Alligator mississippiensis: one gene and its partners. The protein of the gene in region 2 purifies or fractionates together with the protein of the main gene of each other region. This does not show direct contact. Links are inferred from orthologs where the notes say so. Each region holds a gene or a part of one and is shown on either strand. Other genes may lie near its edges. The genes, in order: ZBTB2, RBBP4, C15H17orf49 and SHPRH.

Region 1 (7,920 bases), on a different chromosome or scaffold from region 2:
TTGTTGGCTCTTGTCCATTCTTTTACAGACATTAAAAGGGTTAACGTTGAGCAGATGACAAGAGTGAAAAGTACTAATTATAAGTAGCAGTGGGAAAAGACTGGATTCCTTGACAGTTTATTCATAGACATGAAGTGTCCTTTTTAAAGGTTTTTCACAAATAAGAACTGATTCCAGGTTTTCTTTGAACAGTAATAAGAAATTAAATAAACGTTTTTCAGAATGCACCTAGGCTTTCTTGCCTGAACTGAATAACGTGTTAAACAGTCAATCTTTTTATAGTTACCTGGTCTGATGAACAAACAACATCTTGAAGTAGTTTGAGAAAGATGCAAGGACAGATTTGTGGGCCTTGAAGTAGACATCACCAATAGCAACTGTGCAGTCACACAGGAAACCAAACTCTCTTTGAGCATTCAGCTGCTGCAGCAGAATAAGTCCATGGTTGGCCAAATCCATGTTTTACACTCTGAAAAGGAAATGACCTATGTAAAATTAGTGACACATGTAAACCTCTTTCCCCAATATTTGTATGCTATAATCGTACTGTACCCTTCATGTAAGAATGTTAAAGTGCTTTATAAACAATATCTCAAAATGGTTAATTATTCCCATGTTATAAAATGGCAAAATAAGATACAGGTTGTAGTGACTTGCCCTGGATCACAGAGCAAGTAAGTAGCTGAAGTAAAAGGCATTAGAGTGAGATTTAGATGAGAGAGAAATGATCAAAATCCAAGGGGGGGGGGGGAAGGAGGGGAGAGGAAGAGAAAGAGCGAAACAAAATGAAATTAAAAAATTTTCAGACTTCCAACTGCATAATTTGTTGTCCTAATCTGTTCAGCTAGTAAAAATGCATGTATTAGGGTTTCAGTCATGTACACAAACAAGTCTATGTAGGTAGAAAATAACACTGATGACAGAAATGAAACTCACCACCTGTCTACAGGGAAACTGGGGAAAAAAGTCAGATTAATTCCAACAACCCCCAAGGGAAGGGCTTAAAAAAGCACCTGATGAGAGCAACTGGTAATTTGGAGCAGGCAGGCAGAAGCTAAGAGCTGTTGATTTCTTTCAGGATCTCTCAGGGGTGGCATATTTGACGTGGGCTTATAGATCTGTGGCATAGGTGGGGTTGGACACTTCCCAAACTGGCTGAAGGATGACAGAACTCGTATGCTGTAACAAAGGGCAGTCACTCCATGGCCTGAACATGTCCCACTGCCTCAGTTCACACAAGATCAGAATTTGTGTAACATAAGTCAGAAGTGGGGAAGGGGGAGAAGAAACCACCCTATTTACGTTACAGGTACTGACTGATTGTGGTGGGGGAGGGAAGAGGAGGTTCGATGCTACCAGAAAGGCTGTTCACTTTAGCATTTGGCTGTTTGCTGCTGATTTAATTCTTGAGCAAAACAGAAAATCCTCACTGCCCTAACAACACACAAAGGCAGTCTTCAACCCTCCAAGACATGCCATGCAGGCAGAATTTAGGGTCACCTTGCAGGCTGGCTTGCAGCTTTGCTTTCATGACTGGGCTGGGCAGGTCCTGTCTGTACTTGGGTAGGAGATGTCAGCGTGATAAGGAGGCAGTGCTGATGGCACTTTATTTTCCCCTCTCTCTCAATGTCAACTAAGCAAAGAGGTGCTCTTCAGTTTCCACCCACCTACCCAAGTTTGCCCTGCCACAGTAACAGCTTTATGTCCTGTGTGGCGGTGCTGAGCACCTGTTCCCTCCCGTCCCAGAGATGCCATGGCTGTCTGTCTGTGTGTGTGTCCAGGCCAGCCCGACAACCCAGCCCGGGCGCCTGCTCGTGACCTTTGCAGGGGCTGCGACCGCTCTCCGCTTTTTGGTTGCCAAGCGGCTGCAAGGGCCCGCCCTGGCGCCGGGGACAGAAGCGCCCGGACCTCGCAAGCAGCTTCCCCTCAGCCCGACGGCGCTGCAGGGCGGCCGCGGCACGGGCCCGAGGCCTCCTCATGCCGCCGGGGGTGGGTTACACGGGAGCTGTGCAGCACATGCCCAGGGGCCGAGGCTCCTTCCCGCCCTGCTGCAGGGGGGGGGAGGGGCGGCAGCAGCCGGTGCCGCGCGGTGCATGGCGCCAAGGGGGAGGGGGAGCCGCCCGCGCCTCCTCCCCCCGGGCGCCGCGAGAGGCCCCGCGCGAGGAACTGCCGATCACGCTGACCTCACCCCCCCCCCCCCCCCCCCCGCCTTGCGGCTGGGGGGGCGGGACCTGCTCCTCCGCCCCCCGCCCCACTCTCCTCTCCTCTCCGCCACCAGGCAGAGCACGTCTCCTCCGAGCGGGGAGGGTGGGGGGGAAGGTGACGGCGCCCTCCCATTGGCCGGCGGGGCGGAAGGGCGGGCGGAAGGGCGGGCACGGCTCTCATTGGCTGTGGTCCCTCCCTCCCCTCCCCCCCGGCGCCGCACGCGACGCGGACGCGGACGCGACGCGACGCGGCCGCCACGCGCGCACGAGGGGGCCGGACGGAGCCGGCGCACTGAGACGCGCAGCGCGAGACGGGAGCCGCCAGGGCGCGCGAGACGGGAGCGGCCGTTGCTGCCGCGCGCCGACAGGGAGAGCGAGAGAGAGCGAGCGAGAGAGACGGGGCCGCCCCCGCCCTCCGCCCCCGCCCTCCCCTCCCCGCTCCGGATGCCGCCAGACAGCGCGCCAAGGCCGCGCGGGCCCCAACCGCCGCGCCGAGGCAGGCGAGCCGAGCCGAGCCGAGCCGGGCCCGCCTGGGGCTGCACCCCCCTCCATCTCCCCCGCCCCGCCCCGGAGCCCCCCGCCCGCTCGCCCCGCGCCCCCGCCTGGCTCACCTGGAGCAGGCCGGGCCTGGTGCCGCCGCGCCGCGCTCGGCTTTGCGCTCGCAGCGGCGGCGGCGGCAGCAGCAACAACGGAGTCAGCGCGGCGGCGGCGGCGGCTTTTCCTGTCCGGTTACGTTCGGGTCACATGACCGCGAGCGGAGCACAGAGGCTGCAGCGAGGCGAGGAGCCCCCGCCGGGGGGGAGGGGAGGCGGCGAGCGCTGTGGCGGCGGCAGCAGCAGCAGCAGGAGCCACCCAGCCCCTCCCCGCCCCTCCCCCTCCCGCAGGCCGCACCGACCGGGCCGCCGCCGCCGCCTCCTGCCTCGCTGCTCTCCTCCCCCCCGCGCTTCCCGCCATCCGCGGCCCGGGCCGCCTTGCATTGTTCCGGAGCCTGCCTCTGCCTGCCGCCCGGGCCCGGCCGCATCATCTTGAGCGCATCCTGCACCGGGGCCTGGCACTGGGGCCAGCTGAACTTCCTGCGCTGGGGAGGATTAAGGGCACCCGCTGCCCTTATGTCTCTGCCGCAGCCTCCTCCCCCCCCCCCCCCCCCGCACTGCCCGTTCCCGGGGGGCTGGGCATGCTCGTTTGAGAGGCCTGAAAAGTGCCCGTGCTGCAGCCGTGACCTGAGCCCAGGGCATGCAGGAGTCAAGGGGCAAGCTGCCGAATCTTGGCCAAGCGGCTCCTCTTTTTACTTGTCAGCAAACTAGTTCATTTTTTTAGTTGTCATCAACAGGCTCCTCTGTACAAAAAACCCCCCAAAAAACCTAATAAAAAATAAAATGCACCGAGAGTGCGAGCAAGCTGGCATGGCCTGTTGCAAAGGGTTGTGCCCTAGTGCAGGAGGAGGTGGGAAGGCTCCTGTGCAGGTGAAATGGGAAAGGCCTGTCAAGGTGGAAACTCCACTGTGTTTCTGTAGTGCTGGGTGCTGAAAGGTTAATCAAGGGAGGGAGGGGTGGCTACTGTCCTGTAACAGATCCTGATGCCGGCTAAAGACTTAAGTGAAAAAGTTGGCAAACATTGGTTTGTGCTTTTGGGAAGTTGAGGAAATACAAGTTTGGGTCTGCTATGTTACATACTTGCAGGCCCCTTTTTTTCCTTTTTTGAGAACTGCTGTGGTAAAACTCATGACTAAATCTAATATATGATACAGGACCTACAGATATGAAGTAGCACAAATAAATGTGACCAACAAAGTTTACTTCTTGTTTTTAGCTGTTTATATGAATCGGGGTGAATCTCTTTTGCAAGGGGCAGAGGATTTGCCTGGTAAATAAAGGGAGGACCCTTTTATACATGCCACATCCATTTTTGCTGCAGGCCAGACTGAAAGTCCAGACCTGAACTGATTAATGTGCCAACCAGTTGGCAGCTCAAGGAAGTTGGTGATGGGTTGTGAATAATTTTGGTCCTAAAACTTTTTTTTTTCCCTAATGAAAATTGAGTTTGAAAAACAGTGTGTGGGCACAAAGCAGATATTTTATCAGTGAAAACTTGAGAGAACTCATTTTTTGTTGAAAAAGTGTTGATTATTAGGAGTAATGATTTGGAGCATTGGCTTCCAACCTTTTTGGATTCAAGGGACCCCCCCTGAAAATGTTATCTTGGTTTTCACTTTTTTCTTTTTTTGACTACAGAAAAATAATAGACCGGTTCTGCTGTTGCAAAGAACTCAGGTCACAGATCAGAAGGCTTTTAATATGAATTTCTGTTTATTTTCTCTGAATTTATATTTTGACTCATGTTTCCATTCCTAAGACTGCTACGGTTGTGCAGCCCCCTATGGCAGCCTTGAAGGAGTCTTGGAGCACCCCAGCATGCTGCACCACCCTAGTTATGAATCACTGCTTTAGAGCCTTATCATTAACTGAGAGTTTTCCATTTGTTAGTAGCAGTAAGTTAGTCCCATGTCTATAGTTTGAAGTTCAGTCCTGGTTGTTATCAAGTAAAGAATCATTTATTTATGGCTGTCAAGTGAACTTGCTTTATTTCTCTCAGCCCTTTTTGTAGGAGACGGGCATCAGCTTCCCAAGTAAGTGTTTGGCACTTCGGTTTGCACTCAGTAAACGAAGTGTGCAATGCACAAATGCAAGAAAACAAACTAACTTTTCACCTGTAGAGCCAGGTGTGACTGAGACGTAACTTCCCCAGCAGCATGTCTCAGTCTGTATCTGTTGATCAGCAGACTATTGCAGACTTCAGGGCAACCTGTCATCACATTTTACAAGAACTAAGTTGATATTGGGACAGATCTATCCAGGAATGTGTGAAGGGCTGCTGAAGCCAGTGGAGTTCTGGCAGGAGCAGTGTGGTCCATTGGCAGCTTCTTGCCCATAAATATTAAATTATTTTTTAATCCATATTATACAAGTTAAATCTAATCAGGCTACATGTAATTTAGTTTATAAATACTGATCCCAGTGTCTCTTGTGCTAGTCAGACTGAAAATTAAGTTTCTAGCTTGTATTTTCTATTGTGAATGAAGGAGCTTATTGAAGTTTGAAGAATAGCTACTTTACAGAGCAGGTTGAGCATTTCTCATGCACCTAACTATATTTATGATCAACTGTAACAGCTTAAAGAGCTGTTGTGTTTAACACATGATTAAAGAAACTTTAAATTATGTTTTTAACTAATAGATTGGAATGCTTCTAGTTTACCTGCCAGAATGGGGGGGAGGGGAGGGGGAGGGTGTGTGTGACAGTGCTTCATATTTGATTTGACAAGATGAAAAATAAAACTAATGTAGGTGTTAAGCTAGACATTTGAATTTAGGAGCTTATTGCACAAGACGTTTTACCTACTCACTTGAAACCAGCAAAATCAATGAAACTTTAAAATGAAATAATTATAGGCAGTGCTTTGAATGGACACTGAACAGGAAAGCATGTATTTCTAGAAAGCCTTCTTCATAATTGCACTCCTGATTCTCCTATTTAAATGTATACTGGTACAACTTGTGTGGCTTTCAGGTGGTTACACCTGATTCATATCATGGGTGAGAAGACAGTCTGGCTTTAAAGATGGAAGAAAATTGTATTGAACTTGTGATGTCATATTATCAGCAAAGCAGAAATGTTATCTTGATTTAAAAGGATATTAGTTATGATCCAAAGCCTATTGAAGTCAATGGTAGGATTCCCATAGACTTCAGCGGGCTTTGGTTCTGAGGTACTTAGAATGGCTAAGCCATGTGGTATTTCTAAAAGCAGACTTCCTTCCTATTTGTAGCAAAATATCAGATTCAAATCAGGAGGAAAAAAACGGGTGTGTGGTTTCTGTTGTTGTTTAGGTTTGTTTTTCTGCTTCACAATTTTTTTAAATTTTAGATTGGGCAAGAAGGAAAGAAGTCATTTTGTTTCAGAATTGCTTCCCATAATTCCACCTTTATGAACAGGCAAAAGGTTTGGCAAGTATTAAAGAAATATTTTTCAGGTCCCAATGGGAAGGGTCTTTTTAACACATTGATTTTTGGCTTTACAAAATCTAACATTTCTTAAAGCTGACCTGCCTGAATCTCTTGTATTTTATTAAATATTTCAACTCTCAGTGGCAAGCCAAGTTATGAAATGTATCTGTAAGTGTTCTATATTAAAATAATTAGTGGTAACAATGCTAATGTATGCATTTAAATAGTTATAGGCTGGCTTTTCGCCCTGCCTCAGGTTGATGATTAACTTGTCTTTTATAAATATACTCAACACTTCTTTTCCTAATTGTATGACTTTTGCTAGGAATGAACAAGCTGTTTAAAATACTATGTTCTGGAAGTGTTACTTATTTAAGTCCAGGAATTGAGAATAGGAATGACTGTTCACACAACTGTGGGCTTCAGGATTGTTTCCTGTGTCTTAATTGAAATAACATGTCATAGCAATAGTCCTTGTTCTGTTTTTACTCAAAGCCAGAATATTGCCAAAACGAACCAAGTATTACATTGTTAACCACTGGTGATGCACGTGCTACTGGGATGATGATCATCAAGCAAAACAAGTAAGGTTTCAGTTTAGCATGGGGGAAACTGGGGTAGACAGACATATCCATGCTCTTCAAGTGCAACTCTTCTTTGCACAATTGATTTCAGAAGCAAGGCTTTTTTGTTTTTTTTGTGTGTGTGTGGGGGTTTTTTTTTTTTTTTTTTGTAATATCTTATTGGATCAGTTGTGTAGTCTGGAGAGATGTTAGACAAGCCTTTGGCACAAAGTGTCCGTCAGGTGTGGGAAAGAAGACCTGAGGGTGGGCGTTTTGTGCCTGAAAGCTTGCCTAACAGCTCTTCCAGCTTTACAGTTGGTCCAGTAAAGCAGGTGGTCAGCCTGCAGCACGAATGTCACAAGTGGCATGGGCAGTGTTTGTGTGTAGCATGATCAGGGCTGGAGGGGAGGAAAACATTCAGCATGGTGGTAGATGGAGCAGAAAGCACAGCAGCAGGTCAGGTAGGGAATACAAGGCAAGGAAGCAGAAAACCGGCAGGAAAAGGGCTCAGAGTAGCAGTTGTGGAGGGCTAATTTGTGGCATGCCTATCCAAAAAAAAGTTTGACCTCAGCTGCATTAAGACATCACCAAAGTAAAACCCTTGCTTCTCTCATTTCCTGGACTGTCGTGGCTGCAACACTGATTTTGAATCGGAATCAAGTTAACTGGTATCTGTTGTTGAAGGTACCACTGGAGACTTGCTTGACACCTTCCAAATGAGGTGGAGTCTCTGTGCCTCTCAGAATCTGCTGTTCAAAATAGTTCTTTTTTTACTCAGGACAGCTTTCAACAGTCCAGATTTATGTTTTTTGAGGAAAAACCCTTGCCAGGGTAAGAGAAAAATGGATTTGGTACTTGCCATAGATTCTGTAGTTGGAATGTGGTAGCTCCTGTGTTTCAAGTAAATGGGTCAAATTGAACTAAAATGGTAATTTAAAGCATTAATACATATACTAGGGCTATGCGAACCTTTGGTCCTTGATTCGATTTGGTGGAGATTCGGCCCAATTTGGTGGCCGAATCTGAATCGAATCAGAGGACCCTTTAATCTCTCCAAATCGAATTGGAACTCTCTGATTCAGTTTGGAATGATTTGGCGATTCGGACAGAGACAGCTTGAAATGTTTTTCTACATACCTCTAGGTAGCAG
Region 2 (7,152 bases):
ATGCAATAAGCCAGCTATTTCTGACTGAAAGGCAAAGTTAATTTCAACAGTATTCTCTTTCAAAGTTTGCACAGTGCCTTCTTACCTTCTGTCTGCACTTCTACAGTATCCAAGGGCTCCACAGTCTCTGTATCTGTTATGTAGCCAAACATGGCCATAGCACACTGCTCAAAAGCTTCTTCCAAAGTATCTCCCCAGGCATGTAACCTACAGAGACGTAAGAGTTACACCATCATACAGCAGCGACAAAGAAAGACGAGAAAATACAAGTAAGGAATTGGAGTACCATAGAAATACGAGTAGGAAAAGCAGCAAACACAGTGCCTTTAAGCAGGGAGACTTGTCTATGGTAAGTGCTGAAACACTGAAAGACAATGGAGTTTCTTTTGGAGGAACAACATGGAAAAATATTGAGTATTTTACTAAAAACCATGGATATCTAAACAGGTACTGTTGGAACATATGTACATGGAACATTTGGAAATAAGAGGCAGCAGAATTATGAAACAAATACAGCATCTTTAAATGTGGCATCCACAGGCCCAAAAGGGATATATTTGCACCCTATTCTCTTGTCACATTAGATTTTGTCAGTTACTCCTGATTGACAAGTATTGAAGAGAATCAGGCTTATAGAGAAATTCTACTCAAATTCCAGCTGTAAATACTCACTGAACATCAGCCGTGTGATCCAGATCTGAAGGATTAGGAGAAAAAAAGAAAGAGTTATGGAATTGTCAAAGTTGTTTAGAAAAACAACGCATGACTACTTGCAAGAAAATTCAGGTCCTGTTTTTATCATGAGAATATTTTGTGCATGTTTTGACACATCTGACCTCATATTAATAATGTTAATCTGACCTTTAGCTAAATATGCTATAAAAGGATCAATATGATAGCAGCACATAGTAGGTACCATAATAGGTTTTAAAAGAAAGCCACCAAGAAAAACAACCCCTCCATAATAAACCCATCACCTTGTTTCCACAAAAAGTACCCCCAATATATATGCATTTCATACCATCCTTCAATAGATGAAAATGTTATAGAGCTTTCCCAAACTATACAGGCCACATGGAAGAAACTTAAAGACAGAATTTGAACCCAAAACTCTTGTTTCAATTTTCTTCTCCTTGAAGTTGGTAACCTTCCCCCTGCCCCCCATATTGTAATCAGTCTCACATCAATGTTCACTTAAAATGCCAGAAAAGCATTTTAGATAATCTGTTTTATGGAGCAGCTCACAGAAATTTTGTTTCTCAAGGAACTTTTGATCTGACTTCCCTTGTGGGGATAAAAGAACAGATGGTGTAATAGGCCTGGCTTTACACTGTATCCCTAATATTGGTAGAATACCCTAAAACCCATCCAACTTGTGTTACTGGGGTTAAACTGGATATGAAAACCAGGCATTAATTCAAAATGAGTTGCATGCTTATGGGAACAAGCTGTGCAGTGTCAGTGGAAACCAGTATTCTGCAGAATTACTGCCAGATACAGTTGTGCCACTAAGATGCATAATACCGGGAGCTGCAGTGCTGAGCACTTGTTGTCTGCCCTTCAACCAGCAGGAGTTGAGGGGACTCAGTAACGCACAGGATCAGACCCTACCATACCTCCCTCCTTATAACAGCTCCACACTAAGGCATTATACTTAAGTTTTAAAACAAAATAAGCATTGGTACTTTGTTCTGAGCTGACTGGCTAATAAATCAGTGGTGGCAGATGTGATTTGCATAATTAACCAGCTCTTGGATTATAGTTTCTCCAATGAATATTATATTTTCTTAGTATGGTATCATCATTACCCCCTACTGCAAGTCAGTTTTGAGTGATAATACCACTTTTCATTTCACCCAGCAAGATTTGCTTCCTTCTCTTTTCAGGCTTTCAAAATAAACTTCCAGTTGCAAAGTCAGGAGTCACTAACTAGTTATGGCAACCTGCCTGGAGGTGCTGAACACACAGGGACTTCTTTAGGACCCATCGCACAAAGCTAAATGATCTCCGTTAAGATAACATATCAAGACGCATCAATAAGCCTCCCCTACCCACTTAGAGACAAGATCCCAGGGCACAGTGTGAAGCACAAGTTTTACACGTGCTTAGGTCTATACCTCCCCTCCCAGCCACAGACATGCCATGGGGATACTCACACTCATACTTCTTATTGAGTGGAGGGTACTTGGCTTTGATAGCCTTCTGCTCCTGGTTCAGGTTGTAATCCCGGAAATTATCAGCCATCACTGTCAGCCTTGCAGCACCTGCTTCCTGCTTTATTCAGACAGCCCCTCTTCGCCTGATCCAGCCCAGACTCACCATGTGATCCTACCCTTTAAAGGCAGAGCTCCCTGCTCGACTGGAGAGCAATGAGGACACCAAGTGGCACTGAAAATAAGTGAGGTTTGAAATGTGCACCCCTGAATTCTCCAGCCACAAAATCCTTTGCAAGGGTATTTTTTAGCCTGCAAAAACGTACTAGGCAGTGAGTCAATGAAGCTGAAAGAAGTTCTCAATGTGCCTAAAGTTAAGCTTCATTTTCAGGATCCGCACCACAAATAGCTTACACCTTGAGCTAGTGCCAGGCTGTCCTTTGGTTTAACTTGATTAATTTTGCGCAGCCTCAAGCATGCTGCTGCTGCTCAAGAAGAAGGAAAATAGCAAAAGAAAAGGAAAACACTGGCGATTTAGACTGTTTGAGGCTTCCACCAGGGGCCGAGCGCTATGAATGAAAGCGAAAGGGGGGAAACGATGAGATGGTTTCTAGAGTTAATTCCAGTAGAAGGAAAAGCTGGTATTTATTTATTTTTTAAATCTAAGACTAAATAAATACCATCAGTTACTCTGTTTTTTTAAAGATGGGAGTAAAGAATACAATTTGTAAGAAAAGTGTAGTCCTGTTCTCAGTGGTGGCCAAGGAGCAGCGGTCTGACGTTGCAGCAAGGGTGGTTTAGGTTGGATATTAGGAAATACTCTCTCACTGGGAGGGTGATGGTGATGAAGCACTGGAGCGGGTCACCTAGACAGATGGTGCAGTCTCCATCCTTGGAGGTTTTCAAAACCCAGCTTGGCAAAGCCTTCACTGGGATGATGTAGTTGGGGCTGGTCCTGCTCGGAGCAGGGGTTGGACTAGATGTGACCTCCCGAGGTCCCTCCAGCTCTCATGTTCTGTGATACGGTGATGATATCGGGTAGGTGTTCTCCAGCGTCCTCCTTCGGAGCCCCTGCGTGGTCTGCTTTATTCTCACACCGCTGCAAAATACTGACTCCAGTTGGAAATAATCAGCGTCTTTCCTGCTGCAGTGAAGAGCGAGGCCAGAGGCTAATCAGCAGCGATCCCGGTTTTCTCCGATTAAAAAAAATTTTTTTTTTAAATCCCCATTTTTCAGTTAAATCACAAAAAAATGTGGATTTTTTAAATGAAACCTCATTAATATATAGGTAAATACTAGTGATGTTTAATCTTAATCATGGAAAAACATGGATCTGGGATTACTTTAACTGAAAATTGGGGATATCCAGAGAAAACCAGGATCCCTAATAGTCAGCAAAGGCCGACCATAATGTCTCCTACACAGGACGCTCTTGTACAAAACTCTTACGATCTCCAGCGCTGATCGGACTCTTTGGGGGAAAATCAGAGGGGAAAAAAGAAACAAACCCCCACGTAGGAAGCAGATTCAGGCAAAAACTGAATTTTGTCCTTCAAACCTAGAACGAAACAAAAAGGGGGGCAAATAAATATTGCTTTATTCGAGATCAATATTGCTATATAGGCTAATAAATATTGCTTTATTCAAGATCCTCAATCCTGTCTGATCACAGGTTGCAGCGACTGGCAGGCAAGCCCTAGGCTGCTTGCTTTTCTGCCCCTCCCGCAGCAGCCTTGAGAAACAGGGTCAATGAGGCTTGAGCCCCAGCAAGGGCATGAGGGGCCGCTGGCCCTTTAAGGCGGCCCGCCATGCTGCCCCTCCGTCAGAAAATGGCGGCTCCCATGGGAGCTTCACCAGCGCCGGCCCCTCCCACGTGACCGTACAGCAAGCCCGCCGCCTCCTTAGGCCCGCCCTGTCAAGCGCCCGCCGGGCTCCTATTGGCGGCGGGCGCCCGGCCGCGGGCGGTGATTGGCGGGCGTTGGCGCGAAGGGCGCGCGGCGCCGGAGTGGCACGCAGAGGGGGTCGGAAACAATAGAGCGGCGGCTGCACCGAGCCGGCAGCCCGCGCCCCGCACCCCAACATGGCGGACAAGGAAGGTACGTGCGGCCGGGAGCAGGGCCTGGCGCCGCGGCCGGGAGTGGGACCTCCCCAGCCCTGCCGGAGCAAGCAGCCCTTGGGCCTCCCTTCTCTTCCTGTCCGGCTCCTCCGTGGGAGCCTTCAAAGAGGCATTTCCCCCCCCCTTTAATTAGCATGTGTTGCATAATTTTCCTTTAATTTGCATATTTGATATCATTGGCCCTTCATCTGCACAGCAAAGCCCCCAATTCTGGTTCTTGGGGGGGACTGAAATGCTTCCCCAGGTCTGTGCGCGGTGGGGGGGGCCCTTGGTAATGGGCCCGTGAGGGCCACGGAGGGCGGGCGGGCGGGTGGGAAGGTGCACCCTGGCAGTGGGTGGGTTTGTTTGGCAGCTACGGCAAAGCGACGGGGCCGCACGGGTAGGGTGCTAGCCGGACCCGCCGTTGAAATGAACACGTTCTTTTTTCCTCCCCTTGGCGACGTGCAGCAGCCTTCGACGATGCGGTGGAGGAGCGGGTGATCAACGAGGAGTACAAGATCTGGAAGAAGAACACGCCCTTCCTCTACGACCTGGTGATGACCCACGCGCTCGAGTGGCCCAGCTTGACTGCCCAGTGGCTTCCTGATGTAACCAGGTGAGTCGAGCCTCCTGGTTGTTGGTGTAAATGGGACTGAAGGACGCTTTCGCTGTCACGTATGGGAGGGAGTGGGTTGCTGCCGGCTGTGATCAGCTCTTTGGCCACAGTAGGTTGAGGACTGTTGTGCTGGCACCAGGCAGCACCTCTGCTGCCTGCTGCCTGGTGCCTCTTTGATTCAGAAATAGCTGCTGACTGGCAGCAAATGTTTCAGGCTGTGTTCAACCTGTAACTAAGTGATGTTTTCTTCTTTACCCTCCATTGATGAAGTTGCAAAATGAACGTACGCAGCATTTAGGTATTGTTCAAAACCCTTCTGCTGTGCAGCACAACTGTTCTTTCCCCGGGTCCCTGACACAATGTATTTTTCCACCTGTCACTTGCAGAAAATGCTAATATGCCTCAAGGCGTTACTCACGGGAGTACTAGTGGGAGAGTCCTGCGGGGAGAAGAGAGCTTGTATTGTGGGGATGTCAGATACAGATTTCCTTGCTGCTATCTGTCTAAGGTTGGACAGGGGTGATTTTGTTTGGGATAGCAGCAAGGAAATAGGTATCTGCTATCCGTCTAGGGTTGGACTGCGGTGATTTTGTTTGGGATAGCAGCAAGGAAATAGGTATCTGCTGTCCGTCTAGGGTTGGACTGCGGTGATTTTGTTTGGAAGATTTGATATTGGAGTAAGAGGGCATGGTCAGCGCTAAAAGATATATTATAATTTTTATTTTATTTATTTATTTTTGGAGGTTTAATTTCCAGGTCCAGGTTTGTTCCTGTGAGCCAACTATATCTAATTAACTCCCTTTCATTTCCCCTCCTGTAATCCTATTTTGTTGTAGACCCGAAGGCAAAGATTTCAGTATTCACCGGCTAGTCCTGGGGACACATACTTCAGACGAGCAAAATCATCTTGTGATAGCCAGCGTGCAGCTGCCCAATGACGATGCACAGTTTGATGCTTCACATTATGATAGCGAGAAAGGAGGTAAGAGTCTCGGATGATCAGCAAGTGGAGTTCCAAACTTTTTTTTCCCACTGGACATAATGGCTTTTTTCATTTGGAGTTAATAGATCATTAAGTAATATGGAACTTTTATCCTATGAAGTGATCAGGAGAGGTTACAACTTTTCCTCCTTTCTTCTTGGATCTGTGCACTGTACTCTAATCTTCCATATGCCATGCTGAATTAAACTTACTTTTTGCTTTTATAACATTTTGAAGAGGAGAGGGGTAGAACTTATTGGAAGATTGTGCAATAGAAATTATTTTAATTATTTCTCATTGTGACTGCATAAAGTATTCTTTATGATGGTAGCTTTCATAATTTGATAAAAGAGGCTTTCTGCCATTCCTTAGAGGGTGTACAATTTCAAGTGTTCTTTTTAGCTTGAATTCTGCTGACTGGTAGACGTGCCAGCCCCTCCAGAATAAAAGGATGATTGTATTTTGCTCAGTTAAATGCCATAATACCATGGGATCCAAACCAAATATATCAGTAACCTTCCTAGGCAGCCAGCATTCCTACCTATTAGCCATATCTTATTCTAGTTGGGTTAATGATTTCTTCCACGTTATACAACTTTTCCAGTTCAGTTGTCTCATTTCCTTGTTTGCCAGGAGCCAAGGTTGTGCAATTGATACCTTGATTGTTGGACTTGCTAGTACTGCTTGTAAACAAGATTCTGTCTAAAATACTTCATTTCAGGATTTCTGTTTCCCAGAAATATCAAATTTTAGTACCACTACTTCTTTTCTTTTGTTGTTGTCTTCAATTCCTTTTTGTTTTTTCAGAGTGAGTATTAAAGTATAGTATATTAAAAAGTTTTGCAATATTACTTGCGATCATAAGGCTGTAGATATCTTTTCCTTTTATTCTGTTTATTTCCTGAAATCTGCTTGTGATCCTGAAAATAGGTTTAGTTTTGACTTGGTTGTATATGATTAAAAGTGTGTGTGTGTGATAGAGAGAGAGATTCCTGTACAAAGTGTGTAAGTTGGGGTCTCTCTCGGTGCAGGTGCTGACAAATACTTGCTCTCCAATTCACAATACAAATGTTAAATATAGCTTCGGCAAATCTGTTGAGGAATTTCAGTCACTTATCTGATTTTTTCTTTTTTTATAACGGCTTTACGGCTACTTTATTTTTCCGTACAAGGCAGTTTGCTCTTTTGAATTGAATAGCAGATTGGAAGCCAGGTGCTCTTGACAATGAGGGATAGTGCTGTGGCCTTGAGCAATGCTGTCTTTCTACCTCAGTTTTCTCGTGTTTAAAACTAATAGTTTTTATCT
Region 3 (7,478 bases), on a different chromosome or scaffold from region 2:
TACCTATGGGCAAACCCACCAATGGCAGATGACGCAGGCTGCCTACGCCATTGTGCTCAGCCCTCATTAGCTTTGCAAATGCACTCATTAGTTATGCAAATGCCACCCAGAGACCATGTGACTCTTAATTGCTATGTGGAAACCTTGTCAACTATTCCTGATGCCGGCCCTTGCCCCTTCCCTGACCCACCCCATTGCCACCCCCCCCCCCCCCAGCCACCCCTGGGCTTGCATTGCCGGGTCCCTCCCCACCAGCTCCCAGAAGGGAAACTGAGGCACACAGGAGGCGGTAGAGGGGAAGGCCCTTTATTCACTGTCACACTCCGCCCCAAGCCCCCTACCCTCAAAACAAGTGATGGGGCTGGGGGGTGGGATGGACACCCCCAGTGTCCTGCCCCCTCAAGCTCAGGGTGGTGTCCGGTGGTCTGGCTGGCCAGGGTCAGCGCGACAGCAGGGGCAGGTCACCAGTGGTCATGAGCAGCCCAGGGTCCAAGGTCAGGCTGTCTGGGAGAGGAGAGAGAGCAGAGAGAGGCTGAAAGGGGGGGGAGGAGAGGCAGAGCCTAAAGCAGGAGGGGGTGGGGCCTAAACCTGGGAGGTTGGGACTAAGACACTGGGGTGGGGCCAGGACTGGAGTGGGTGGGGCCTAGAGAAGGAAAGGACAGGGAGGCTGAAAAGGGGGTGGGGCCTGCTGAAGGGGCTGGGGCTCATAGAGCAAAGTTGTGGAGCCTGGAGAAATAGGGTCAGGGCAAGAGGGTGGAGTCTCCAAAGCCAAGGGAAAGTCTCAAGGAAAGGGGGGTGGGGCTGAGAAGGTAGAGGTGGGGCCTATGCAGACTGGGGCAGAGCCTGGACTGGGGCAGAGGCTGGGACCTATATGGCCTGGGGGTGGGTGGAGCCTGGAGGAAGAGGGGAGGAGCTGAAGAGTAGGGGGGGGTTAATCTCAAGGACTGGGGGCGGGGCCTGGTGAAAGGGGGCGGGGCCTGGGGATGCAGGGAGCAAAGGACCACCCCCAAGCAGCCAGGCCCCCCATCATGTACAGCCCCCCCAGCTCTCCTCTACTGGAGCCCCCCCACCATCTGCTGGGGATCCAGGCTGATCCTGAGGCCTCCCCGCACCCCACCAGCGGCCCCCCCGGCTCCTCCTTACCCTGGTCGAAGTTGAGCTTTTTAGGGGGCGGTGCATCGAGTCCCTCGATGTCAACCAGGTCGCTGCTGGCATCCGCATCGTTCAGGGCGCTCAGCGTCACGTCTAGGGGAGCAGCATGGGTGGGGGGCCCCCGAAAACCCCTGCCACTTCCTCCCCTGCACACAGCCCCCTGTTCCGGCCCGGGGGAGCCCAATACCGAATGGGGGGGGGGTTTCAAACCCCATCTTGCAACCCAGGGGGACCCCAGGATGGGAAGGAGGTCTCAGTACCTCTCACTCAGCTGGGGGGGATCCCAAAATTCAATGGGGCATCTCAACCCCTGCTGCAGCCTGGGGTGACCCCAAGACTGAACGGGGGGTCTCAGCCTCCATCCAGCTGCTCAGGGACACCTCAAGGTTGAATGGGGGGGGGTCTCAAGCCCCTCCCACAGCCCAGGGGAGCCCCAGGATTGAATGGGGGGGTCACAATCCCCTGCCTGGGGGGACCCCAGGATTGGGGGGGCTTCACAGCTCACCTGAGGCCTTCTGCTTCTTGGCAGGGGGGGCGTCAGGGGCAGGGGGCACCCCACTGTGCCCCCCCTTCTTGGGCCCCTTTTTGGGGGAGTCAGCTGGCAGCGGCACCCCGCTGTCCTCGTAGGCTTTGCGCTTGGCTGTAGCCTTGATTTGGGCCCTGGGGGGGCGAGAGGGTGGGGCCACGGTGAGCTGGGGCGGGGGTTGAGGGGTGTGGGGCTCCCCTCCAGCCCCCGCCCCCGCCCTTACACCGTGCGCTCCTTGATGACGGCGCTGAGCCGGTTGAGGTCGTCGCCGAAGCGCGTCACGGCCGCCCGCAGCATCTCGATCTCGCTCTCTGTCCACTTGGCCCTGGGGGGCGCGGGGTGTCAGGGGGCCCCCAGCCCGGAGCCCCCAGCCCATAAACGCTCCCCAGTGGCCCCCCCGATCCGAAACCCCCTCTTGGCAGCCCCCGAGACCCAACCCCCCTGCAGCAGGGCTTAGGGGGCAACTGGGGGTGTTTGGGGGGCAGGTGTAGGGGGAAGGTGGTGGGGTGTGGGAGGCAGGGGGCGGGGCTTACCCCGCGGGGGAAGAATCGGCCACAGGGTGCAGCTGCATGGTGAGCTCCCCCAGCTTGGTGAAGGCAGCACCGGCGGCTGAGAAGATCTCCCCGACCTGTGGGGGGGCGTGGGGGGCTGAGGGCAGTGCTCTGACCCCTTGACCTCACCTGCCATGACCTCTGACCCTGCTGCTCCCCCAGCTCCAGTCCCTGGGGGCAACCCTATCCCACCCCTGAGCCCCCCTACAACGTAGTAGGTACTCTTAATTCCCCCCCCACAAATGGGGCGGGCTTCTCAACCCTGGCGGGGGGGTCCCTCCACCCTGGGCCCCGCCCCCCTGTAGAGCCCCCCCCGAGCTGCCCCCAAAGCCCCTCCCCCTCCATGGGGGGCCCCAGTGGTCCCTCCCCTATGACCCCCTCCACCCCTTTTAGGGGTTCCCTGGACCCCAGGCCCCTCCCCCACCCAACTCGCTGCCCCTCCCCCACTGCAGGCCCCACACCCCATCCTGGCCCCGCCCCCCATGACCCCACCTTGGTGCTGGCGGAAGTCATAGCCCCCAGCCGCCGCCCCGGCCGCCGCCCTGGCACGACCGGAAGTGGGGCGCTCTGGCCCCCGTCGGCCGCCGGCGTCTCGATGGTGCGGCCGCTCCGTTCCCCCCCGGACCACCTGGTGCCTCGGTGGTGTTGGCGGACGCTCTAGCCGCCCGGATCCTCCAGCGCCTTGGTGGTGCGGGGGTGGGTGAAGCGCTCTAGCAGCGCGTCTCGGTGGTCCCTGCAGACGCTCCCGCCGGAGTCGCCTACGTCTCTATGGTGATTGGGAGCTCCAGGTTCTCGGCGGTAATGGCGGGCGCTCTAGGCGGTGTGGAGGACCACCCACTCGCTGGCTTTAACTCTTTCCTACCCCTCCCGCCTGGAGCCGTAGACCGGCGCCCTCTAATGCCCCCCCATCTACCCACAATGCACCTGGAAAAGCCCTTGGGGAGCCCATAGAGCCACTGCTCCCCACCCATAAAGCCAACCCCCCCTCCCATGGAGCCCACCCATCTACCCACCATGCACCTGGGGAAGCCCTTGAGGGACCCCCCCCCCCCCCCATAGAGGAAACCCCCAGCCCCTCCCTAATATACAGCCAGCCCCCCCAATAGAGCCCACCCCCTACCCACAATGCACCTGGGAAAGCCCTGGGGACCACCCCGCTACCCCCATCCATGGCCACTCCCCTCCACCAAGCCACCCCCTCCCATCAGGCGAAGTGCCGGAAGACTGGAAGGTGGCCCATGCAGTGAAGGGGAGGAGAGTAGATCCAGGGAACTACAGGCCGGTCAGCCTGACCTCCATCCCAGGGAAGGTCTTAGAGAAGATTATCAAAGAGGCCATTCTTAACAGACCGGCGGATGGCAACACCCTGAGGGGTAGCCACACGGGCTTGTTGCAGGTAGGTCTTGCCTGACCAATTTCATTTCCTTCTACGACCAGGTGACCGGTCACCTGGACAAGGGAGAGGAGATGGATGTCGTATATCTTGACTTGAGCCTTCAGTCTGGCATCTCGTGATCACCTCTTGGCAAAATTGGCTGACTGTGGCCCCGGCCTCACCGTGATCCACTGGCTCCGTGGTCGGACCCAGAGGGTGGTGGTTGGCAGAAGTCAATCATCGTGGTGCCCTGTGACCAGTGGGGTCCCTCAGGGCTCTCTTGGGCCCATATTGTTCAACATTTTCATTAACTATGTGGCCATTGGAGTCAGAAGCGGACTGGCCAAGTTCGCCGATGACACCAAACTCTGGGGCAAAGCATCCACGCCGGAGGACAGGAGGGCGATCCAGGCTGACCTGGACAGGCTCAGGAAATGGGCGGACAAGAACCTGATGGTGTTTAACACCGAAAAATGCAAGGTTCTCCACCTTGGGAAGAAAAACCTGCAGCATCCTTATAGGCTCGGCAGTGCTACACTGGCTAGCAGTACAGGTGAAAGAGACTTGAGGTCATCACTGACCACAAGGTGAACATGAGCCTTCAATGTGATGCTGCTGGTAAAGCGAGCAAAACGCTGGCTTGCATCCATAGATGCTTCTCAAGCAAATCCCAGGACGTCATTCTCCCCTTGTACTCGGCCCTAGTGAGGCCGCAGCTGAAGTACTGCGTCCAGTTTTGGGCTCCACAATTCAAAAAGGATGTGGAGAAGCTTGAGAGAGTGCAGAGAAGAGCCACACGTATGATCAGAGGTCAGGAAAACAGACCTTACGACAACAGGCTGAGAGCTATGCGGCTCTTCAGCTTGGAAAAGTGCAGGCTCAGGGGTGATCTGGTGGCCACTTATAAGTTTATCAGGGGTGACCACCAGGATCTGGGGGAACGTCTGTTCACCAGAGCGCCCCAAGGGATGACAAGGTCGAATGGTCACAAACTCCTCCATGACCGTTTCAGGCTGGACATAAGGAAGAACTTCTTTATTGTCTGAGCCCCTAAGGTCTGGAACAGCCTGCTGCCGGAGGTGGTTCAAGCACTTCATTGAACACCTTCAAGAGAAATTTCAATGTTTAGCTTGCTGGGATCCTATGACCCCAGCTGACTTCCTGCCCTGGGGCAGGAGGGCTGGACTTGATGATCTTCCCAGGTCCCTTCCAGCCCTAATGTCTATGAAATCTCCCCCCCATATAGAGCCATCCCCCACTCCCCCCTATAGACCCACTCTGCCCCACCCCCAGGCCCTCCCAGCTCTACCCCGTTCATTGCACAGGACAAAACCTTCAGGGTGGGGGACAGACACATGGGGGGGCACCAGCCCGGAGCAGGTTCCCTGTGGCTCAGAACCCCCACGTGGGGTAGCAACGTGCTAGATGCCCCCAATACCAGGTAACCCCTCATCCCCTTCCTGCCTGTCCAAGGAGCTAGGGATGCTCCCAGCAAGGGGTCCCCGTTACCCAGAGCCCCACCCCCCAGCTGCTGGGGGGGGTAGAAGCAAAGGATCATGGTCCAGGGGGGTCATAAAGAAGTGGTGGCGGCTGGTCCCGGACCTGGCAGGGGCCTCGTGGTGGCATGGAGAAGCTGCCCAGCATCACATGCAGCTTGGCCGGGAAGCAGCAGTTGCTGGCCTGTGCGATTTTGGGGGGGGTCAGTCCTGACACTCAGAGGACTCCCCCCACAACCTTCCACCTGCAACCAGGACTCCCAGGATCAGGCCCAGATTGGGGCCCTTGGAGGAGAAACACCCCCCACCCCCCTCCAGCCAGGGACTCACCCTGCTTCTCTGTCTCAGCCCCTGGTCTGCTGGGTCAGCTCACTCCCTCCTCCAGGGTACCTCTGGCCCTGGCTCTCCCACCTCCAGGCTTGTTAGGAAATGGGGTTCGGGACCAGCGCATAAAGGACTGACACAGCAATTCAATGCATGAATGACAAAGGCTTTATTTACTGCAACTCATCACTGGTAAATGAGCCTAAAGCAAAGCCAAGTCCAGTCTGTTTAGCTGTGAAAATGATAGTACCTCACCAGGGTCTTGGTCTTGTCAGCTTCTCCAAGGCGTGGATCCGTGCACCAGGAGATTGACCGATTGCAGGAGCAGATCTCGCATCCTGAACTGTGCGTGGTAGCTGCTCCGTTCCTTTTTGGTACCCTGCAGCTGGGCATCTTCAAAGCCTTCTTGTAGCTGTGCAAATAAAGAGGGAGCCCAAGCAATAAGTCGCAGGAAGATCCTGTTAATCAAACTGCTCATTATTGGTTATCAGCAGCGATCCAGGTTTTGCATTCATGCTAAAACACAATTTTTCTCATTTTAAGGAGAAACGCAAGGATTTTTCTTCTTTAAAGGAGAAAATGCGGGAAATGGGTTTCCCTATGTGGGCTGGCAGTGGCAGCCTGCGGGGGGCTAGGGGGAGCGGAAGGAGGGAGCTCAGGCAGGGGTGCAGTGTGTGTGAGTGCGCACACATGCATGTGGCAGCCTGGAGAGCAGCTCCCTCAGGTAACTCGGTGGGGGGGAGGGGGCAGAGATTGAGTCCCCCATAGGGAGGGAGTCAGGTAGGGCTGGGGCTGCTGCTCATCCCAGGGGCTGTGTGGGGTCCAGGGCTATGTGTGGCCACAGGCCTGGCGGGGAGTGGGATGGGGCTCACAGTGGCAAGGAGCTTCCCTGCCCGGTCCCACTCTGCACTGCCATGCCGGGACCTGCCTGCTGGGCAACGGGAACCCCAGGGAGGGCAGCAGGGCTGGGAGCCCGAGTCTGCAGTGGCTGCCTGCGGAGCCCATGCGGGGGGGCAGGGGGCTGCAGGCCCGGGTAGCCCTGGCAGTTGGGGGCAACTGGCAGGGCTGCGGGCTGGGGGGGGTTAAGAGGCAACAGCAGGGGCCGGGCTGCTCAGCACCACAAAGCACGCGGGGGGGCTGTAGGTGGACCCGCGTCTAGGGGAGCGCAGGGGGAGCTTGTATTTCCATGATAAACCCCTCCCCAATCAAATTAAAAATGTATCGGTATTTAGAATTTATTTCATTATAGTGACTGAGGCACCAGCGAACTTCCAGGTTGCTTTAAAATTGTAAATATATCAGTAAAATGCTGTGTTCAACTGATACCTGGACATATAGTGGCCTTTCATTGTAGTCAGGGAAAAACACAGATGTTGGGGGTTTTAATCAGAGAATTTGTCATTTTTAAACAGAGAAATCCAGGATCCCTGAATCATTATCTATCAATTATTTATTTACTGTGCATTTTTATAATTATTTATTCTTTATCAAAGGTTATTTATTTTTTATTATTATTTAGTTGTATTTACCATTTATTTTTTATTGTTTTTATAGTTTATTTGTATGTGTTACTATTATTTACTTACCATTTATTTACTGTTTTTATCATTTATTCATTCTCTATCAACTAGTATTTACCCACTGTTATATATCATGTATTTATTTATTATCTGTTAACATCATTTACTTCTTTTGTTTTTATTATTAAAACATTTGTTTTATTACTGAAGTGGAAACAACAACATTTGCTTTTTGATGAGACAAGCCTGGAGAACATTTTATTTTATACTTAAGGTACCTGGAAATTATGTTTGCTTTGCTTGTATTTTTTTCATTAGTTCATTTGTTTATTATTATTATTGTTATTAGCGTTATCATGATAATCATTATCCTCATCATCATTGATGATTTGATTTTGGTTGGTCATATTTTAATTAATTTTAATTTAATTGACTTTTTAAATGAATTTTTTAGTAGCTGAAACCCGCAAACCATTTGCAATTGCATTTTTATTGCAACAGTATCTCTTTAAACACAGGATTTTTAGTTATCCT
Region 4 (7,804 bases), on a different chromosome or scaffold from region 2:
AAAGAGGCAGAGTGCTGCCTTTATGGTTGTTGTTACATTACAGCCCTGGGGCTTATGTTCGTGTTATTGTCTGTACTGGTGGTTTGGGATGAGACTATTAGGGGAGGTGAAAACCTCATTAGTGCCCAGAGGGGCGCAGCTACAGGGCCTGGAAAGCCCAGTGCCAGAGAGGCACAGCAGATAAGGGCCAGGGGCCCAGTAACTAAAGGAGACTGATTAAAGCTAGTGCCTCAATATTGGATCTAGCACAAGGGGTCTAGATTAAAAGACCTAGCTATATGAAAGGGGTGGAGGCTGAGTAGGACAAGGCCCCAACAGAGGGTATAACATCTGTATAACACCCGTGAGGCATGGGGCATGGTAAAGGAAAGGTCTGGAGCCATGCAACTGGCCCATAAGGCCTGAGGTCCCCATTCAGCACAGTACTTGAGAGGCCCAGCAAAAGGGCTCAAAAACTAGTAAGCTCGAGTGAGGTTCAGCGGACTGGGACCAAGCAAGGGCCCGTGGGCAGCCTCCTGATTTATTTTACTGACAAGAGAGTGCCCTTGGGGCAGAGCCTGCAGGGTCACAGAGCTGCCAAGGGCATCCCATTCACCCCTGGGGACCCTGCTCCATGACATCCCAAGGAATCCCTGCCTTTTTTTCTTTTTTTAATACTAGTGTTTTTCAGTCTCTTCTTTTTTTTTGACTGGAGGCATGCCTTGGAAAATGTCAGGTCTTAGTTTTCTCAGTTCTATTTTAGTTACAGAAAAATGGTTTATTTTTATTTTCATTTTTTAAAAATCACTTGTTTTTGGTTTTTTTTTTTACTTTGGAGTTAAAAAAAACCCCCAAAAACTGAGCAGTTTTTAAGAGTTTTTGCAACAGAAAAACTGTAACCGTAGACTCCAAAGTGAAATCTGTGGGTTTATCTTAGAAATCATGTGTGCACACCTCACAGCACTAACACTGTGGCGCAAGGCAGCAGCCCAGAAAGGATTCTGAGGCACCCCAAAGTGGGCTGAGAATCACCAAGTCTGACGCAGCCCTTGGAAAGTGCCAGATCCTTGTTTTCTCTCCTTTTTTGACAAAAAAACCAAAGTGTGATTATTTTGTTTGCAAAGGACTGAGAGAGTGCAGCTGGATTCCTATTTGAGAAGTGCAGGTTTTATCATTTCAATCATCTTTGCATTACTTCACAGTGCTACCACCCTGGATAGGATCTTCTTGAGGCCCCCCAGGGTGCCTCAGTAACCCAGCTGACAATCACTGGACTGGACTGGAGGCAGCCCTTGAAAACTGCCAGCTCTTTGTTTTCATTTGGGTTTTTGACCACCAGAAAACTATAGAGCTATTCTTCTGTTGGCCAAGAATTCAAGGGAGACTGCAACAATTTTTTTCACACGATTCCCATCTGAAATCTCTAGGTTTCTCTTATAAATCATGTTTGCATCCCTAACCATGCTAACACTTCATGACCTCCCCAGCTGAGAATCAACACAGCTCTTAGAAAATGCCAGCTGTTCCTTCTCACTTGGGTTTTCTGCCTATGGAAAAATAACAGAGCGGTTTTCCTACAGCAAAGAACTCGAAAAGATCCCAGTTGTGGATTCCTAGATCAAATCTAGAGGTTTATCTTGCAAATCACATGTGCACACCCCACAGTGCTAACACCCGGCAGCACCGTGAAAAGGATCCATCTCAGCACCCTGAGAATCACCAGACCCGAGGCATCCCTGGGAAACTGCCAGCTCTTTCTCTGCACTTCGGTTTTTGCCTATAGAAAAATGAGAGCCATTCTTCTGTTGCCCAAGAACTAAGAGACCACAACGTTTCATCGCACTGCAGATTCCTATCCAAAATCTGTGGGTTTCATTCCTGAATTGGGGTTCACACTGCCATGGTGCGATTCTCCCAGCTGAGAATCCCCCGACCCAAGGCAACTCTTGGAAAACACCAGCTCTTCCTTCTCACTTGGGTTTTTGCCTACAGAAAAATGGCAGAGTCATTCTTCTGTTGCCCAAGAACTGAGGGCACGCGCACGCACGCACACACACACACACACACACACACACAGGAGGCTGCTCAAATGCTCTGTCATTCTAGTGTGTCGGAGCACCCAATTAATTAATCAAGTCTGGTGGGACGCAGAAGTTACTGCGCTCCAGCAGACTCCAGCGCCACGTGAATCAGTGCCCCTGCACTGAAAAATGGTGGCGGGATGCTTTAAACTAAAGTTCATTTGAGCCTTAGCTCAAAGCACCCTGCCACTGTTTTTCAGCACATGGATACTGATACATGATGGCTACAGATGCTTTTAATTAGCATGGCTCTCAGAGCATTTTTCACACGTGTTGCGGGACGCAAAGCTGGGCGCTTTAATGAGCGAGCCGTGCTAATTAAAAGCACCTGTGTATCAGGGTTGGGTGGCACGTTTCTATCCCAAATCTCTGGGTTTCATTCCCGCATAAGGGGTTTTCACCCCTAACTGCACAACGCCCAGAAAACACCGGGTCTGCCTTCGCACTTTGGGGTTTTGCCCACAGATGAACAACCAACAAAGCAGCTCTCCTGGGGGTAGGGCTCAGGGAGACGGACCCCCACGGTAAGCCCCTGGCTCTCCCCTGCCAGCCCCCGTACTTGCCCCTCCCGTGCTAGCGATGCCCTCTCACGCCCCCTCCCCCCGGTCACAACGGACCCTGGGGTCGCTGCCCCCCCACTCGCTGCCCCGCCGCGCGAGCCCGTTACCTGGTCACGCCCGCCCCGCGCGAGCGCCCCCCCGCCGCCCGGCCACCTCAGGCCGCGGCCCTCCGAATGGGGCGCGCAGACGTCACGACGCCACGCCCCTCACCACCGGGCAGCGGAGACAGCACTCGCGCTTGCGCAGTCGCGGGACGGACCCGGACCCCCCTGCCAGTGGTTGGAACCGCCGGAGACCACATTCCAACTACGTCATGGGTGAGGGGAGGGGAGGGGTCAGTCAGCCCCGCGGGAGGCAACTACAGCCCCCACCCCCCTCCGAAGCCTCTCGGGGAGTGAGCGCTGGAACCAACAAGCTAGGAAGGCAGCGCATGCGTAGTATCGATTTGGAAGCCGAAGGGGGTAGGCGGGCAGTAGTCGGGCAGAAGAAGGAGGGGCCTGTGAGGCGCATGCGCATAGGGAGGCGGTTGAGGGGCACGTGGACAGAGGAGGATCTGGGTTGAGACTGCTTTTGGGTCTAGGCTTTTTTCCCCGTGAGATGGGGCGCTTTCTAGCCTTGCTCCTAAATGCCATGAACGTTACTAAAACAAAGTTTTAACTATCCCTTAGAATAAAAGGCTGCTCCATTACAAAGCATCTGCGTCACCCCTTTTATGGCTTGTTTGTACAGATGTTTATAACCCCCTTTTTTTACAGAGACACATTGGAAAGGGAGTTTGTAGGGCTCCTCATGAAAATAGCCCAGGGCATGAGCATTTGCAGCAAGACAATCAAAACCCTCACAACCATGGGGGTTTATCTAGTCAAAAAAAAAAAAAAGAGAAAATACCTCACCTCAGGCCACAAATAGTGACTTATTGCTAGCAAGGCTTCAAAGCAGGAGAGACAGCAAGCATTTACAAGCAGTCCATGCACTGAAATTTGTTTGTGAAAAAAGTTGCAGCCACTGAATACGTTTTAAGTCACAAAAAGTTCCTTTAAAAAGTGTGCTTGTGAGTAACTAGCGAAGAGAGAAAGAAGGGCTGATTTAATCTAATACAATACAGTACATAGTTCACTTCAAAATTTGCAAAGTTGTGGAAAAGCAAGACCCAGTCTTGCTGCAGAACCTACTGATCTCTAATCAGAGATGGAAAGAAATGAAGGAATCCATCATCATAGAAATTGCTTGGGTTTGATGGAGCTTCCAGTTGTGTTTGGCTTAAAGCGGGGTGCTGAACTTATCTGACCTGTCCTGCAAACTGGACGAGCAGCATAGGACTGGTCTGTGGTCCAGAAGAATGTGTCCCGTCCCCCATTGCACCTTTCTCAGCAGGCTGGATCCAGTCCCACTGTAGCCAGTGCAGGATGCATATGGCTTCCACTGTGGGACCCACACTGCATGCACTGCCCACCCCAGACAGACTGGAGTGGTTGTATCCCAGACTGACTGGAATAGGTGCTATGTGTGGCATGGTCTTGGACCGGATGGAGCAGGTGCTACAGGTGCTGGGTTCAGCATGCAGGGGTCTCATACTGGCCCAGCACCGGGAGCCAGATGATGAGGCTCCACAAGTAAGATCTGGCCTATGGACCACCTTTTTGACACCCCTAAAGGTATTACAACAACTTATTAGGTGTTAGTTGTAGTGGGATTTCCACCCTCCCATAGGTTTAAATGGATATGAATCAAGGACGTGTTTTGAAACAGAAGATGCCTTTTTTTCTCTCTCTTGAGCAAGTACTTTGATTTTGATACCAGATTTTGGTACTCTTTCCTCAGGTTGAATAGCACCTAATTCCAAAACAGGCTATGATCCAGCAAGGCATTTAAGCAAATGTTCATCTTTAAGTACCTGTAATCCCATTGTTGCTGGGTTTTTGGTTGTAGCCGTGTTGGTCTAAGAACCTTGCCTGCCTGTAATTCCAAAGGCTTTCCTGGCACTACTAATGGAGCAAGTTGATATTCAGCATAAGTACAGTTGGCAGTATGTAGCAGTGCTTTCAAAATCACAGCTACCATAATATTATCTATGTACAATGACCCTAATACAGAGGTGGGCAAAAAGCAGCCTGGGGCCGGATGCAGCCTGCCAAACCATTCTATCTGGCCTGCGGGGCCCCTAAAAAATTTAGAAAATTAATATTAATCTGCCCTGGGTTGCCTGTCATGCGGCCCTCAATGGCTTGCTGAAACTTGCTAAGCGGCCCTCTGCCCAAAATAATTGCCTGCCCCTGCCCTAATAGATCTCTATATATGCAAAATTTTGAAAGCACAGGATTGAAGAGAATATACAATATGTTGCTACTTTTTAGTGCCCTAACCACATTTCCCAAGAATAACTGAAACCATCCATGGGCATAATCCTTCACTGTTTTAGACTAATTTTCAGCAGGGAAGTACTGTTGATTTTTGCAGAGCTAAACTAAACTAAGCGCAGTTAAAACTAAACACAGTGCAGTGGAGAATCATACCCTCAGGGTTTTAGCAATTATTTTGTAATGTTTTGAGTTTCATCATAATGGCTTTAGTCTGATATCCTAACATCAGATTTTTATATCCAATCTGAAATCTATAATGACAAAAAGGATGAGTAAAATTAAACAGATATCGAACTATATTTACTTAGAAGTGTTCTTATAATAACTAAAATCACAGCAATACAAGGACTGAAGGGAGAGTAATATATTTGTTCCCTTGAGGTATGAGGGCCAAGAGGGTCAACCTTCTGATCGTCCTCCTATTAATCTACCAAATCCTGTCACAAAAGTGGTGGTAAACCAATTAATCCAGAATAATTATAAATAGCAACAAAATGGAGCACCAAGTGTCAGTCTACTTTGCTGAAAAGATCATGTACATGAGGGAAGTCTTGAATACCTTGGAACTGCTCTTTCTATACCCTTCGACCAACAACTCCATTCCCAGTTTACCATTCCCACTCAACAAGAGGTTCAGGACACCCTAAATTAAATATAGCCCAAGACTTTTCTCCCAACTCCTGATATCCATGGCTAGTGGAGAGTCATATACAAATGGTGCTATTCTGAACTGAAATGGACAATTCAGGGAGGGAATTTTCCCTTTTTCTTCAGATGTGCAGTAGCCTGACCACGGACACGTTGGTTTTAACCACCCTACCATCAAATCTCCCATTGCTAAACAAGCTCATAGAGAATATAGTCAAAGCCAACAAAAAGTTAATTTAACTGAATTTAAGAATTAAGTTCTGTATAGTTGGAGTACAGTATTTAGCAAACAAATTACAGGGCAGTCGTCTTTGGTCAAGGGAACCTACGATTGGCCAATTCAGTCTGCAGTTTAGGAAGTCTGTAGTCTGTACTCTTGGAGTGCCTGTTGATGCCTAGTTTTCTGTTGAAAGCAGCATTTGTCTATGCTGCTACCATATCTATTTGGAAAGAACAGGGTCATCCAACTAGTAGTCTATGCCCTAAGGAGTTAACCTGCAGTCCCCATAGTTCCTAGACTGAGCACCACTCCCTCCATTGCTCTCCTGGAGTCTCTGGCTCTCCTTTCTTCCTCCACTTTCTGCTGCCTACCCCTGCCCCTGGGAGTGGTACAGTGTGGAGAAGATGGAGCCTGTGGCTGAGGGAACTCAGGCAGGGACCTTGGGACCCAGCATGGTGCCAGTGGTGGGTGGCATGGTAGGGGAGGCATGCCATTTAGGGGAGGATGCCACAGCAAGACATGGGGCAGTGGTACAGTGCAACAGGGCAGGCTCGCATGGTGCACTGTGGGTAGGGGGTATGTGGCATGGCGTGGTGCAGTGCAGGAGAGAAAGGAGATCACATGATGGGGGGAATCCCATACAGCTTACACAAGGGCATCTGTGGCCCCCCACCACACAGCAATTGGACATCCCTAGAAATCAAATCCCATTGTCTCCCCATTCTGGCACATTAGCAGGCCACGGTCAGTGAAAAAGGTAAAAGGAACACCCAGGGGGTAGTACCAATTGCCCACTTAATTGTAAGACACTCTTGCTCTATCACTGAACTTTTCTGTTGCCAGGGAAGGAGCTTCCTACTTAAATACAGGATTAGGTGTTCCCTGTCCTCAAACTCTTGGGAGAAAATGGCTCCCCAACCTCACTCCAAAGAATCATTCTGCAGTATGAATTATTTTATGAAGTCTGGGCCATGCAGTACTGGGGCACTGCATAGGAGCCTTTTTATAGTCCCCAATGCCTCTGCATACTCTGCAGACCATCACACCTTCTTGGGTGCCCTACCACAAAGTAGGTTTATACTGGTACTATGGGATAAAGCACTAACAATACCTTGCCAGCCCTAAAAACAACTTTGCTTGCTGCTTCATTGTGGTCACTGGGGATTTTACCAGTGCCTTTACTGTACCTACCAGGAGTTTAATCCTTCTATTTCCTAGGGGTACCCCTAGTATTCCTAGGGGTACCCCTAGTACATCTGAACTGACACTCAGCTGGATTAGTTGCGAGGCCTGCCACTTGAAGTGAACAGTGAATGAAGCACTGCCTTCACCTGCTAGATGTCCACCTGCTAGGTGCTGGTGAATATTACCACATCATTCCGGTATGTACATGCATATGCCCAGTGTGGACAGAGTATTTTGTCTGTTAAACTCTGGAAGGTGACTTATGCCCCATAGGGCATGTCCCCACAAGCATACATGTGCATTTCCCTGGGGACAAAGAGCAGCTGCTTGTCTCCAAGGTATGCTCCTTCATGCACACTGATGGATGACAAATAGCCACAGGTGGAGTAGGGGAGGCTGGGGCCAGCACCTGGGCTGGTCCCAGCAGCCTTACCTGGGGTTCTGGGGGCCTTCTGGGGCTGCAATGTCATCGATCCAAGCGCAGAGTCTGGCCAGCAGCCAGAGCATGGCTTTGGCCAGCCAGGCTCCAGTTTTGGGTGGCACATGTTGCAGCAATATGCACCGCCCCCACTTTTCTTTGAAGCATTTTTTTAGATACCATGCTTTTCCAGAATCTAGTTTTGGCTTCACATTGGAAATATGCTGTGCAAAGAACCTTTTCACTTGCACCAAGTGAATTTTGCAGCATCTCAAGAGTCTTTGAGATGCCGCAAAGGACATGTTCCCACTCATCTGGATGCACCCATAGACCGCTTCTCCATGAGCAGGGGC

The links.
Region 1: the proteins of RBBP4 (region 2) and ZBTB2 purify together in Homo sapiens (affinity purification with mass spectrometry; 3 studies listed by BioGRID and IntAct, with this or other methods). This does not show direct contact. The link is inferred for Alligator mississippiensis from reciprocal best matches to the Homo sapiens genes RBBP4 and ZBTB2.
Region 3: the proteins of RBBP4 (region 2) and C15H17orf49 purify together in Homo sapiens (affinity purification with mass spectrometry; 5 studies listed by BioGRID and IntAct, with this or other methods). This does not show direct contact. The link is inferred for Alligator mississippiensis from reciprocal best matches to the Homo sapiens genes RBBP4 and BACC1.
Region 4: the proteins of RBBP4 (region 2) and SHPRH purify together in Homo sapiens (affinity purification with mass spectrometry; 4 studies listed by BioGRID and IntAct, with this or other methods). This does not show direct contact. The link is inferred for Alligator mississippiensis from reciprocal best matches to the Homo sapiens genes RBBP4 and SHPRH.

Annotation. Positions count from the first base shown.
Region 1 is NC_081824.1:130,276,538-130,284,457, forward strand, and holds the start of ZBTB2 (zinc finger and BTB domain-containing protein 2), read right to left. Parts: upstream 3,014-7,920; 5' UTR 2,816-3,013; intron 2,173-2,815; exon of another isoform or gene 1,501-2,172; intron 1,488-1,500; exon of another isoform or gene 1,014-1,487; intron 486-1,013; 5' UTR 460-485; coding exon 287-459; intron 1-286. UniProt on the Homo sapiens protein: May be involved in transcriptional regulation.
Region 2 is NC_081829.1:5,390,332-5,397,483, reverse strand, and holds the start of RBBP4 (histone-binding protein RBBP4), read left to right. Parts: upstream 1-4,139; 5' UTR 4,140-4,233; coding exon 4,234-4,249; intron 4,250-4,716; coding exon 4,717-4,864; intron 4,865-5,700; coding exon 5,701-5,846; intron 5,847-7,152. Other genes in the region: ZBTB8OS (protein archease), read right to left, coding at 86-207, 673-697, 2,157-2,244. UniProt on the Homo sapiens protein: Core histone-binding subunit that may target chromatin assembly factors, chromatin remodeling factors and histone deacetylases to their histone substrates in a manner that is regulated by nucleosomal DNA.
Region 3 is NC_081838.1:23,753,014-23,760,491, reverse strand, and holds C15H17orf49 (chromatin complexes subunit BAP18), read right to left. Parts: upstream 3,006-7,478; 5' UTR 2,743-3,005; coding exon 2,722-2,742; intron 2,307-2,721; coding exon 2,212-2,306; intron 2,004-2,211; coding exon 1,902-2,003; intron 1,813-1,901; coding exon 1,658-1,812; intron 1,246-1,657; coding exon 1,144-1,245; intron 505-1,143; coding exon 440-504; 3' UTR 291-439; downstream 1-290. UniProt on the Homo sapiens protein: Component of chromatin complexes such as the MLL1/MLL and NURF complexes.
Region 4 is NC_081824.1:125,836,216-125,844,019, forward strand, and holds the start of SHPRH (E3 ubiquitin-protein ligase SHPRH), read right to left. Parts: upstream 3,010-7,804; 5' UTR 2,728-3,009; intron 1-2,727. UniProt on the Homo sapiens protein: E3 ubiquitin-protein ligase involved in DNA repair.